Saccharomyces cerevisiae S288C: one gene and its partners. The gene in region 4 interacts genetically with the main gene of each other region. Each region holds a gene or a part of one and is shown on either strand. Other genes may lie near its edges. The genes, in order: YFL064C, DPC25, YKL183C-A and GND2.

Region 1 (2,736 bases), on a different chromosome or scaffold from region 4:
GAACAATGGTAGTCGCTTTCAAGGCCTAACCATTGAATCCAGCGCTCGGAAGTGAGTCCGTCAAGCGTCTTTAGTCGAGGCTCCGATGAACCGTTCTTGTTGTATCGTCGACGTATACGTTGCGCTGTAGCTCTGGATAACGGTAAGCGTATCACCGTAAGCTCGTCAATTATTTTTGAGAGCCGCGGTCATTTTGTTAGTATCTCTTCTCAACTTGGGCAGCACACACGCAAAACATCACCCAATCGGTCCTTTTTGTTCATCATATCGTTACATATCTGTGAAAAGTACTTTATCTCAATGGGTTTACGTGGGCATAGATCACGCTTCAGCCGCTCTGTGTCGACTTTCTTTTCGCCAGGTAAACTTGCTTGGTATGCAGAAAAAATCGATAGCTCATCTACGTGTAGTAACAAAAACATGTGGGGTGCCAAATTGTACCCATATTTCCTTATGGTGCTTTTCTGAAGACTCCTTACAATAGGTGCGCCAGAAACAAAGTCAGTGAAAGTACGCATCGTAGAGCTGTCGTTCGGCCTGGCACTCGCTATTTCGTGACAACGTTCCAGGACACGGAAAACTCAACTCATTATAGTATCCTCTGTTGAGGTAAAAAAGAGAAAGGGTATCGTAATCCTTTCTATTGAATTTCAAAGTATGCACTTGAAACAACGTGTAGACCATCAAGTTGATTTTCTTGGGAATAAGATACTTTGAAGGGATTGGTCCGCCCTGGAAATCTGGTTCGTCTTCAACAAATGTCAGGAACTTTTGTACATTTTTCCCGACCATGACGGAAATGACAATTTTTTCAAAAGACCTTTTCCTATTCATTGCACCAGTTCTGAATTTTACCACTTTGATTAGGCCAGACTTTTCGTCTTCGTAGAATGACCGCACTTCCGTGGGGATCGATTCAAATAAAGTTATTGAGGGACAATGTACCAAGTCGTTTTTGTTATTTAGAGCCGACTCAAACTCGTCAAAGTTTGCTTTTTCAAACTTACGCCTATCGGAAACTTTCATTTTATTTTTGTAAGTTTCGAAATTAACAATAGTATGTTGATTGTTATGCTTTTTGACAAGAAATCCATCAATATAAACAAAAGATTGTCCAGTTTCCGTCTTATCATCATCTAAGAATGTAATAATTAAGCTATTGAGAAGATGCAGAATCTGCGCTATGCAGGTGCAAATCTCCAGCAGCAGCAAAGAAAATTCAGTTAATAAGAAATCTCACTAAGATAAGCGACTGTCTGTCCCCTTCAAGCACAACATAGAAAACAGAAGGATGTCTCATTCATCGCTTGATTTCCGGCCTGCAAAAATAAAGTAGTCGGTACGCACTTTCGTTTTCAATTTCCATGGTGCACAGTATCTTAACTATCTGCTTAGTCGAGGAGAACCAGGATTCGTGGATATTCTCTTGGATACTTCAAACATGGACCTACGCTTAGCCTGCGCTTAGCCTACAACTTCTTCCGCTCTCGAAAAGACCAATATAATAGAAAGTTATAAATTACATTTCCTTATTAGGTATACGACCTCGCGCTTCGAAGTAGAGGAGCCCTTTTTGGCGTACCTACATATGGCGCGTCAGACAGACAAACTTCCCCCAAAAATGTATTACCCCGCCGAATAAGAAAACAGACCCATTCACCCACGACGTATCAAGTTACTTCCTTGGTGCAATGTCCCACTATAAAAAAATTCCTTGACGCTAGATCGTTGGACTAAAATCTGCGTCCCAATCGCCTAAACAGGAAATATTGCCTATTTTCGTACAAGGTTACTTCCTAGATGCTATATGTCCCTACGGCCTTGTCTAACACCATCCAGCATGCAATACAGTGACATATATATACCCACACACCCACACACACCACACCCACACACCCACACCCACACACCACACCCACACCACACCCACACACCACACCCACACCACACCACACCCACACCACACCCACCACACCCACACCCACACACCACACCCACACCCTAATACTACCTCAACCCTACCCTAATCCAACCCTTCCATCCTGTCTCTCAACTTACCCTCCATTACCCTGCCTCCCCACTCGTTACCCTGCCTCCCCACCACCAACCCACAAATCCACCATAACAGTTACCCTCCAATTACCCATATCCAACCTCACTGCCACTTACCCTGCCATTACCCTACCATCCACCATGTCCTACTCACTGTACTGTTGTTCTACCCTCCATATTGAAACGTTAACAAATGATCGTAAACAATGCACACATACTTACCCTGCCAATACCCTACCATGCCCCATCTGTCATACTCACCATCACTTGTATACTGATACGGCATACGCACACGGATGCTACAATAGTATATACTATCTCAACTTACCCTACTTTCACATTCCACTCCATGGCCCATCTCTCACTTCATGAGTACAAATGCACCCACATCATTATGCACGGCACTTGCCTCAGCGGTCTATACCCTGTGCCATTTACGCATAACTCCCACTATTATCCACATTTTAATATTTATATCTTATTCCGCGGCCCCAAATATTGTATAAATGCCCTTAATACATACGTTATACCTCTTTTTCACCGTATACTAACCACTCAATTTATATACACTTATGCCAATATTACAAAAAAATCACCACTAAAATCACCTAAACATAAAAATATTCTATCCTTCAACAATAATACATAAACACACTCAATTGCGTATCAATACCACCATGAGGT
Region 2 (2,832 bases), on a different chromosome or scaffold from region 4:
TATTAGAGGTAGATACTTGGCTAAAGAAGAAGAAAAGAAGCAAGCTATAAGATCTAAGCAAGAAGCATCCCAAATGGCTGCTATGGCTGAAAAGTTGGCTGCTCAAAGAAAGGCAGAAGCTGAAAAGAAGGAAGAAAAGAAGGACACTGAAGGTGATGTTGACATGGACTAATGTTAATGCAGCAAAGTAACTAGAAAAGGATCTTTATTGTTTTTTCCGATTTTTTTAACTCACTTTGGATACATTTTTTTTAATATCTTCTCTGTATAGTTAAAAAAAGATTATAATATAATATAACTGAAAATTTTTATGAATATGTGTATGTTTACGAATATATGTATGCATGAATGGGGACATGCCAGCGCGTATTCACGCATTAGTCTCCTAAACCCTCTAAGTGAAATATATGTATGTTTATTATTCTCCATCCATAAAGTCTACCAAGATCAAAGAAGACCGCAAATATTGTACATAGGCTTTTCAATAATATATATTTGCTTCAAACCAAAGCTGTCCTCTTTTTTATTTCTTCCTGTCGGCGAATTTTTTGTAATCTTTTCTTTGATTCAAACTCTGCAAAGGCTTTAACGTAGACAGGAATATCTTCCCAGCCTTCATCAGCATCTGATTCACTGACTGATTGGTCTCCTCCATCTTTCTGTTCGTAATTGTGTCTCAAAGCAATATTTTTCCTCTTGGCTGCCAATACACTCTTGGGCAGAGGCCCTTTTCTTTTAGGGAACAAACTTCTGATAGCAGATAAATCATGAGGTTGTTCTGCTTTTTTGCTATCGGTTTCCAGCTTCTTTTCACGTAACTCAACAGGGACATTTTCCATATGTAACAATCCCAAAGGTGGATTCCAGTCTTTAGGCCACTTCTCCTTAGTTCCTGCGATCTTTTCCGCAGCCTCTTTCCTTCTATGTTTCCAGTCTCTTAAATCCTCGCTATATATCTCCCAGACACAGTTAACGCAACCTGACATGCAACAGTTATCGGGTTCTTGTGGTTTTGCAGGCACTTGGACACCTGCTATTTTCTTCGTTCCGCCGCTAAGCACTCTACTTGTGGATCTTGGTGGTTCACCCTTTAAGCGTCCTCCAAAAACAGTGGTCATTCTTTCTTCGACAGAAGTAGAGATATCTTGAGTGTTTCCTTCAAAAGTCATATCTACTCTGGAGTATCTTGTGAACCTCCGCACCGGATAAATTCTGTAAAGTAATGACCATCCCTGATTTCTTATCATTTTCTACTTTTGATCACGTCTCTATCTAATGACGGTTTCATGCACCCTCTGACTGTTGTAATTTACGTATTATTATTCTGTTTAATTTATGCTATTTATGTAAATGAGTTCGGCCATGTCGGAGGAGAAAGATATCTTTTTTCAAATTTGAGTATCTGATTCGGGCTTATAATACATGCCCACGACATCGCTCGATCATATATTCCAACTCTTCAAGCTCCCTCTTCATTTTATTCTTCACGTTGAACGGTTCAAAGAGCCCCAGAAAATAGGTGCTGAGATCCAGACACTCCTTGTACTTACATTGGTAAAATAAACGATGGCAGAAACCACTAAGCACCTGTCGCTGATGCTTATTGGAGATATCGTACTTGCCTTCCCGGATCTCAACCAAGGGATCTACCTCATCCATCCATCCTACCTTTGTCCGCACAGGGCCTTGTTCTACTTCGAAGTAGTGCTGCAATTGCTGTGTATACTCTTCTTCCGTTTGACCTTTACGTATTTTAGTTTTCCCGGTGGATTTTCTAACAATTACTTCACCTGTTCTACCATCTAACGAGATTGGCTTAGTCACTGATTGATCCTTCTCTCCGTGGGCTTTCCTAAAACCTGTACTATAGTTTTTTTCCACCATTTTTGGTGCTTCTTCTCTATCAGATGCTTCTTTCATAAAAATTATTATCTTTCTTAGCTGTTATTCATCTTACATTTTTTTTTCAATTACGGCGAGGCGATGACTTCAATCGTTGCTGTCAAGATTGAATTGACAATTACAGTCGATGTTGAATATTAACTTATATATGACAGATCATTACAGCTAGTCTAGTTCGACAAGATTAGTAAGATTAGGAGTTATTTTTAACTGCTTATTATGCAAGTTGTGTAGGCCACAGGCGCAACTGAAAAACATAATTTCAGATTAGGCAGTTACTGGAAAGATCGCGTTCTTGTATTGTCTAAATAGAAGCAGTTGTTTTAATAATGCTTACAATTGAACTATGAACCAAAGCAATAATTTATGAGAAACTAAAATGGGATGCATCAGATCTTTGCACTCAATTGAGTTTAAAACTGTACAGGTACTAATATTATATTAACGCTGCTTCTATAACACTTGTTTTGACATGACGATAAGTGTAGTGTATTCAAATGCCGTATGTCACTTGAACACACAGGGAACTGCACTCTGCACTTCGGAACAAGATTGAAAGTTACTGTGTTATTAACCTTTGCCAACAAGCGAAAACAACCAGGTGTTTCTGCGGTTTACAAAATCTTTAAGGGATTGAGGTTAGTTGGCTCAAAGAGAAGAAGTTCCCAGTCGATGTATCAAGCAGAGCTAAGAGAAAAAGTGCCGCGAAAGGGTTTGATTGGTCAAGTTGGCTTGTTCATCAGGAACTAAATTAATCAAGGTGTGATTCTATCTGTCAACCCCCCCCCTTGATACTTCCTGTACTTAGAATCAATTTATTAAATACAAATTTAGAATCTGTGATTCGTAAATCTTAAGTGTTTAAATACTAAGTGTGTATTAAAGGCTTTACTTCAAGCAACGAAAAATAAATAACCCCGAATATATGAG
Region 3 (2,773 bases), on a different chromosome or scaffold from region 4:
TTCATTACGACGATTTTGAATCCACTACTGCGGTCCTCGACTCTATCAACAAAACAAGATCTGAGTATCCATATAAAGTTTCCATCTGGGGACCCACATGTGATGGTTTGGATTGTATTGCCAAAGAGTATTACATGAAGCATGATGTTATAGTCGGTGATTGGTTTTATTTTCCTGCCCTGGGTGCCTACACATCATCGGCGGCTACTCAATTCAACGGCTTTGAGCAGACTGCGGATATAGTATACATAGACTCTGAACTCGATTGAAGGATATATTTAACCACGACTTTCGCAAGAGAGACGGAGGGGGTGGGAAAAGGCTGAATGCAACCATTGTCACTAAGAATTTGAGTGTTCATGAACGAGTTATACACGCTATTTAAGAGTCAGAGAATGATGATTCAAGAAAATTCTGGCATTTTTCCTGTCCACCACTGTACGCCATTGTACACAAAAGTATTTTTTTATATTTTTTTTACAATTTTTTATAATTTTTTTTTATGTTTAGTGTATATTTGCTAGAAAGAAACAAGATCTTTTTTGGTAGTGTAAATGCTTAAACTTTGTCTCTTTTTCCTTTTTACTTTGGAAAAATGCCGACGCAAGAACATAGACATCTGCGAAAACCAAAAATAAAGTACCAATTGTACATACAAAAACAGAGAAAAAGTTCATGAACAGAACGTTACTACGGTATAGCAAGATCTTTGAATACATCCATTACTTCGGATTGTTCACCATACTTCAACACAGGCCAAGATAGACCATAGCTACAGTGATAGACGAATATTTATTTCAAAAGAAGCATCAACCATAAAATAAAAAGAAAAATGATGAAAAAAAAACCAAAGTGCCAAATTGCAAGGACCAAACCATCGGTCGAAAACGTCATACCATATAACCAATTCAAGAAGACGCAGCCGCGATTCAACGGCAACTTTTCTGCACTGAATAATGAAGAATACATAATACTCTTTGGCGGAGGTCGGGACCTGATACTAGGCTCCCTGACACCTTGTTCGAGCTCTCATTTGTCCAATCAAGCCAACCCACAAGACACCAGTGAGTATGGCACAGACCTGTTTATACTCAACAGCTGCATTATCATTTGGTTCAATGGCTTGGGATATGGGCTGGAAATTCCCTACAGCAGCGTTTTGTACCATGCATCAAGACGGCTACCAGATGGTAGGGAAGGGCTTCAATTAGAAATTTTGCTGACTTTGGAAAGAGACGAAGTGTTGGACATGCTCTACCAAAGCCTCGCGCCACAGGCCTGCGAATTCGACGGCGAAGAAGCACATGCCTTCACCGTGCGCAGCGTGGAATTGACTATCAGGCCCAAATATTCAATATACGATCGCCATTATAACAACGAAATCGAAACCCTTTTCACCTTCGAAAACTTCGGCGTGAACAGGGGCGATGACCTGGTAAACAATTGTAACGAAGCACTAGCCGTATGCATGGACCTGCACGGTGAGGACGTACAAGATCAAGACCAGGAACAATACCAAGATCCAAGCATGGCGTTTGAGGGTGCGCAAGATCTCAACGCCACGTATTCTGGGCTTGGAGACACCCTTCACGGGCCGCCCGTGTATCAGAACGACGGGCTGGCAGACGATCTGGATGGCGACCTCGTTATGGACAACGTGGTCTCTAGGGGTGGTCCAGAAGCAAGTATGTCTATGGAGTTCTACGCAAATCAAAATCTTGCTGGCAGAAAGAACTCCAGAGACAATGAATGAACAACATCTATTATGGGAACATCCCGCTGTACTATGCGGTCTCGTCCTCTACGAATATGGCTATTTGCCTTCGTATATACCTTTCTATACCAAGTAATGAATGTCTTGAGGGCCCGTATGGCCGCGCGAAGGCTTAGTTAAGATGTTTCAGCAAACGGCAGCATGTGAAAAAACCCGTAGAAGGTCCGCATCAGCCTTCCATGCCCGTGCACCCACGGCTCCTCGGAGGCCGGGTTATAGCAGCGTCTGCTCCGCATCACGATACACGAGGTGCAGGCACGGTTCACTACTCCCCTGGCCTCCAACAAACGACGGCCAAAAACTTCACATGCCGCCCAGCCAAGCATAATTACGCAACAGCGATCTTTCCGTCGCACAAGTTAAAAGAAATTGTTGAAAAATACAAATAATCGCGAACAATACGTTGTTGCTATTTAACGCTTTTGGTCTGACAGTAAGTGTGCCTTTCCCAATCACCGAAAAGTGTTGAACGATTCACTGCGACAATAATCAGAGATTACAGTCGGCATTTTGGCATTTTTGGCATACTTTTTATCGATTGAACCATCTTCTCCAAACACTTTTCCTTTTTCCTTCTATTCTGCAGGACCAACTAAAACTGGGTATATATATCATTATCTATATATATAAACGGCTTTCAACAAAGTTATAGGGGAAAACTAAAAATATAAGAAAAAAAAAGGTATTGATTGATAAGGAAAAAGAACCAAGGGAAAAATATAAAAAAGTACATTGGGCCTTTTCATACTTGTTATCACTTACATTACAAAGAAGAACAAACAACTTTTTTAAACGAATTTTCTTTCTTCCTTTTTCAATTTATTAATTCTTTTTTTCCATACAATTCAAGGTCAAATATATTCTTATATGCTCTTTGAATATTTCTGAAAAATATATAAAGAAAAGAAACTACAAGAACATCATCCGGAAAATCAGATTATAGACTAGGATTCCGCTCTTTTTAGTATATTTATTCGCCACACCTAACTGCTCTATTAT
Region 4 (3,952 bases):
GAGGCAGGAAATGAAAATGGTGGGTCCTTCTCGGGCCCTCTTCAAAGGTTTGGAGATCACTCTGTGGAGAGACGTTCCGTTTAGTGCAATATATTGGAGTTCCTATGAACTTTGCAAGGAAAGACTATGGCTAGATTCTACTCGATTTGCATCTAAGGACGCAAACTGGGTCCATTTTATAAACAGTTTTGCCAGTGGTTGCATAAGTGGGATGATAGCTGCTATATGCACACACCCTTTTGATGTCGGTAAGACGAGATGGCAAATATCCATGATGAACAATAGCGATCCGAAAGGCGGCAATAGGTCTAGAAACATGTTCAAGTTCTTAGAGACTATATGGCGTACAGAAGGTCTTGCGGCCCTCTACACGGGCCTGGCAGCCAGAGTAATTAAGATACGCCCAAGTTGCGCCATCATGATATCTAGTTATGAGATCTCCAAAAAAGTATTTGGAAACAAATTGCATCAGTGAATAAAGGCTTGTAAATATAGATATATAGTAAACGAAAAGAAGCATATACGTATAATTATTTGTGGGAACGGCTCTAGAAAAGAAAACTTTGCCTTTAACTCCTTAAGCTTGGTAGGTTGAGGAAGATATATTACCTCCGTGCCCAGTCCAATTGATATGAATATCCTTGTCTACTGGCAAATGGGCAGAAGCACATTCAGGTAAAATTCTAAATGTATGAGCGCCAAAATAATCACGTTGCGCTTGTAACAAGTTTGCTGGTAGCCTCTCAGATCTATAGCCGTCGTAAAACGCTAAAGCAGTAGAGAAAGCTGGAGTTGGAATACCGTAAGTAGCAGCAAGGGCAATAGTTCTTCTCCAACCGGATTGGGCCTTAGTAACTGCAGAAGCGAAGAACTCGTTGAATAATAAATTTTCCAAATCTGGATCGTCCCTATAAGCCTTCGTAATCTCAGCTAAGAACACAGATCTGATTATACAGCCACCTCTCCACATTAGAGCAATAGCTGGGTTGTTTAATTTCCAGCCGTATGATCTGGCAGCTTCGCGGATCAGCATGAAACCTTGAGCATATGAAATAATCTTTGAAGCGTATAATGCTTGTTCCAAATCATACACAAATTGTTCTCTATCATGTATTGCATCCTTTGGTACTGTTGGTCCTGCCAGAAGTTTCGAAGCTCTTTTACGTTCGTCCTTTATGGCTGACAAACAACGAGCGAAAACAGCCTCCCCAATTAAAGTGACTGGCATTCCTAAATCCAAGGCGTTGATTGCAGTCCATTTACCAGTACCCTTTTGACCGGCAGTATCCATAATTTTTTCCACCAATGGCTTACCGTCGACGTCATCGAATTTTAAAATGTCCCTCGTGATTTCAATCAAGAAAGAATCCAAAACTCCAGTGTTCCACTTGTCAAATACTTCACTGATCTCTTTATCCGTAAACCGGCCAATTCGTTTCATGATATCGTAAGCCTCGCAAATCAACTGCATATCACCGTACTCGATACCGTTGTGTACCATCTTCACATAGTGACCAGAACCGGCAGGCCCCACCCATTCGCAGCATGGCTCACCGTTTGATTTGGCGGCAATAGATTGAAAGATGTTCTTGATGTGCGGCCATGCTTCTGCTGACCCACCAGGCATTAAAGATGGACCAAAACGTGCACCATCTTCACCGCCTGAGACACCAGAGCCCACAAAAAGAATTCCTTGCTTTGTTAGCTCTTCGTAGCGTCTGTTAGTGTCCGGGAAATGTGAGTTACCACCGTCGATAATAATGTCGCCTTTATCAAGATGTGGTACAAGTTCCTTTATTAAAGTGTCGACCGGAGCACCGGCTTTGATTAAAAGCATAATCTTTCTAGGTTTCTTTAGTTTCGCAACCAAGTCCTCAATTGAAGTTGCACCAATTATTGATTTTCCTTTTGCCTCATTAGCTAGAAACCTATCTACCTTTGATTGCGTCCTATTATAAGCAACCACGGTAAATCCGTGATCCGCTGCGTTTAAGATCAAATTTTGACCCATCACGGCTAAACCAACTAAGCCTAAATCACCTACTGCCTTTGACATTCTGTTCCTCGTGTTTTTTTAATTGTAGTTGCGTAACTACACTTATCCGGCAATATGCTCACCTGCACCTACGAATTCTTCAAACGTTGTCTCCATATATATATATATATATATATTTGAGCTAACTCCTAGCAGTGATCTAAAATTTAAAATGAAAATAGGGGTGAAGATAACCTCCGTGGGCACTCGTGGTTAAAGAGCCATTTTTCGGGGTTATTAGTTAATAAACTCCTAGAGGAAACGTTCAATTTCTGACGTCTCTACTTTTTCATCGAGAGCGGTGCCAAAAAAATTAGGGGCGCCTCAATTATTAATACTGACAAATAAAAAGGAAACTGCCACCTGTCAGAATTGAACTAACGACCTTTGCATTACAAGTGCAACGCTCTACCACTAAGCTAAGGAGGCAAACCCTTGAAGTTTCAAGAAAAAGTGATGTTGTTTTATCGAACAAGATTTATGCTGCTATTGTTTCTCCTTTCTTTTTTTCCCTTCTTCTTGCAGAAGGAACACGCAGATCTTAAACTGTTTCTGAGAAATATCCCTTCTGGAATTGTGATACGACATTAAAAAGGAATAAATATAATTGTGGCGATAATTTTCTTCATTCAGTAACTCAAATTGGTCTTTCAGTGAACCTTGTATCGATTGACACAGAGGCATGTTCTTTTCAAAAGTTATGCTTACTCGGCGTATTTTGGTGAGGGGTTTGGCAACAGCCAAATCTTCAGCTCCAAAGTTAACAGATGTATTAATCGTAGGTGGGGGTCCTGCAGGTTTGACTTTAGCTGCATCGATTAAGAATTCTCCGCAATTAAAAGATCTAAAGACAACTTTAGTCGATATGGTGGACTTAAAAGATAAATTATCGGACTTTTATAATTCACCCCCAGATTATTTTACGAACAGGATTGTCAGTGTTACGCCTAGATCTATTCATTTTCTTGAGAATAACGCTGGGGCAACTTTGATGCATGACAGGATTCAAAGTTATGACGGACTCTATGTCACGGACGGTTGTTCTAAGGCTACTTTGGATCTGGCAAGGGACTCCATGCTTTGTATGATTGAAATTATAAATATACAGGCCTCCTTATACAACAGAATTTCTCAGTACGATTCAAAGAAGGACTCCATTGATATTATTGATAATACAAAAGTTGTCAATATTAAACACAGCGACCCTAATGATCCATTGTCCTGGCCTTTAGTCACTCTTTCCAATGGTGAAGTATACAAGACGAGATTGCTAGTGGGTGCAGACGGGTTCAATTCTCCTACCAGAAGATTTTCCCAGATCCCATCTAGGGGCTGGATGTATAATGCCTATGGTGTTGTGGCCAGCATGAAGTTAGAGTATCCTCCCTTTAAACTAAGGGGCTGGCAGAGGTTCTTACCCACTGGTCCAATTGCACACTTACCCATGCCTGAAAATAATGCTACTTTAGTCTGGAGTTCATCTGAACGTTTATCGAGGCTTTTGTTGTCATTACCTCCAGAATCATTCACTGCACTTATCAATGCTGCTTTTGTCTTGGAAGACGCAGACATGAACTACTATTACCGTACATTGGAAGATGGCTCTATGGACACCGATAAATTGATAGAAGATATTAAATTCAGAACTGAGGAAATATACGCCACGTTGAAGGACGAGTCGGATATTGATGAAATTTACCCACCAAGAGTTGTTAGTATAATAGATAAGACAAGAGCACGTTTTCCCTTAAAATTAACACATGCAGATCGTTATTGCACTGATAGAGTTGCCCTTGTTGGGGACGCAGCACATACGACACATCCTCTCGCTGGACAGGGGTTAAACATGGGGCAAACAGACGTTCATGGTTTAGTATACGCTTTAGAAAAGGCAATGGAAAGAGGTTTAGACATTGG

What was found.
Region 1: mutations in GND2 (region 4) and YFL064C together harm fitness more than expected from each alone (negative genetic interaction), as found in Saccharomyces cerevisiae (one large-scale study listed by BioGRID).
Region 2: mutations in GND2 (region 4) and DPC25 together harm fitness more than expected from each alone (negative genetic interaction), as found in Saccharomyces cerevisiae (one large-scale study listed by BioGRID).
Region 3: mutations in GND2 (region 4) and YKL183C-A together harm fitness more than expected from each alone (negative genetic interaction), as found in Saccharomyces cerevisiae (one large-scale study listed by BioGRID).

Annotation. Positions count from the first base shown.
Region 1 is NC_001138.5:2,821-5,556, forward strand, and holds YFL064C (uncharacterized protein), read right to left. Parts: upstream 1,027-2,736; coding exon 502-1,026; downstream 1-501. Other genes in the region: YFL065C (uncharacterized protein), read right to left, coding at 210-518.
Region 2 is NC_001148.4:347,534-350,365, reverse strand, and holds DPC25 (Dpc25p), read right to left. Parts: upstream 1,248-2,832; coding exon 501-1,247; downstream 1-500. Other genes in the region: adenyl-nucleotide exchange factor SSE1, read left to right, coding at 1-172; YPL108W (uncharacterized protein), read right to left, coding at 1,414-1,920.
Region 3 is NC_001143.9:97,889-100,661, forward strand, and holds YKL183C-A (uncharacterized protein), read right to left. Parts: upstream 720-2,773; coding exon 507-719; downstream 1-506. Other genes in the region: ornithine decarboxylase SPE1, read left to right, coding at 1-269; LOT5 (Lot5p), read left to right, coding at 833-1,753.
Region 4 is NC_001139.9:1,002,728-1,006,679, reverse strand, and holds GND2 (phosphogluconate dehydrogenase (decarboxylating) GND2), read right to left. Parts: upstream 2,057-3,952; coding exon 578-2,056; downstream 1-577. Other genes in the region: MTM1 (Mtm1p), read left to right, coding at 1-475; putative N,N-dimethylaniline monooxygenase COQ6, read left to right, coding at 2,718-3,952. UniProt on the Saccharomyces cerevisiae protein: Catalyzes the oxidative decarboxylation of 6-phosphogluconate to ribulose 5-phosphate and CO(2), with concomitant reduction of NADP to NADPH.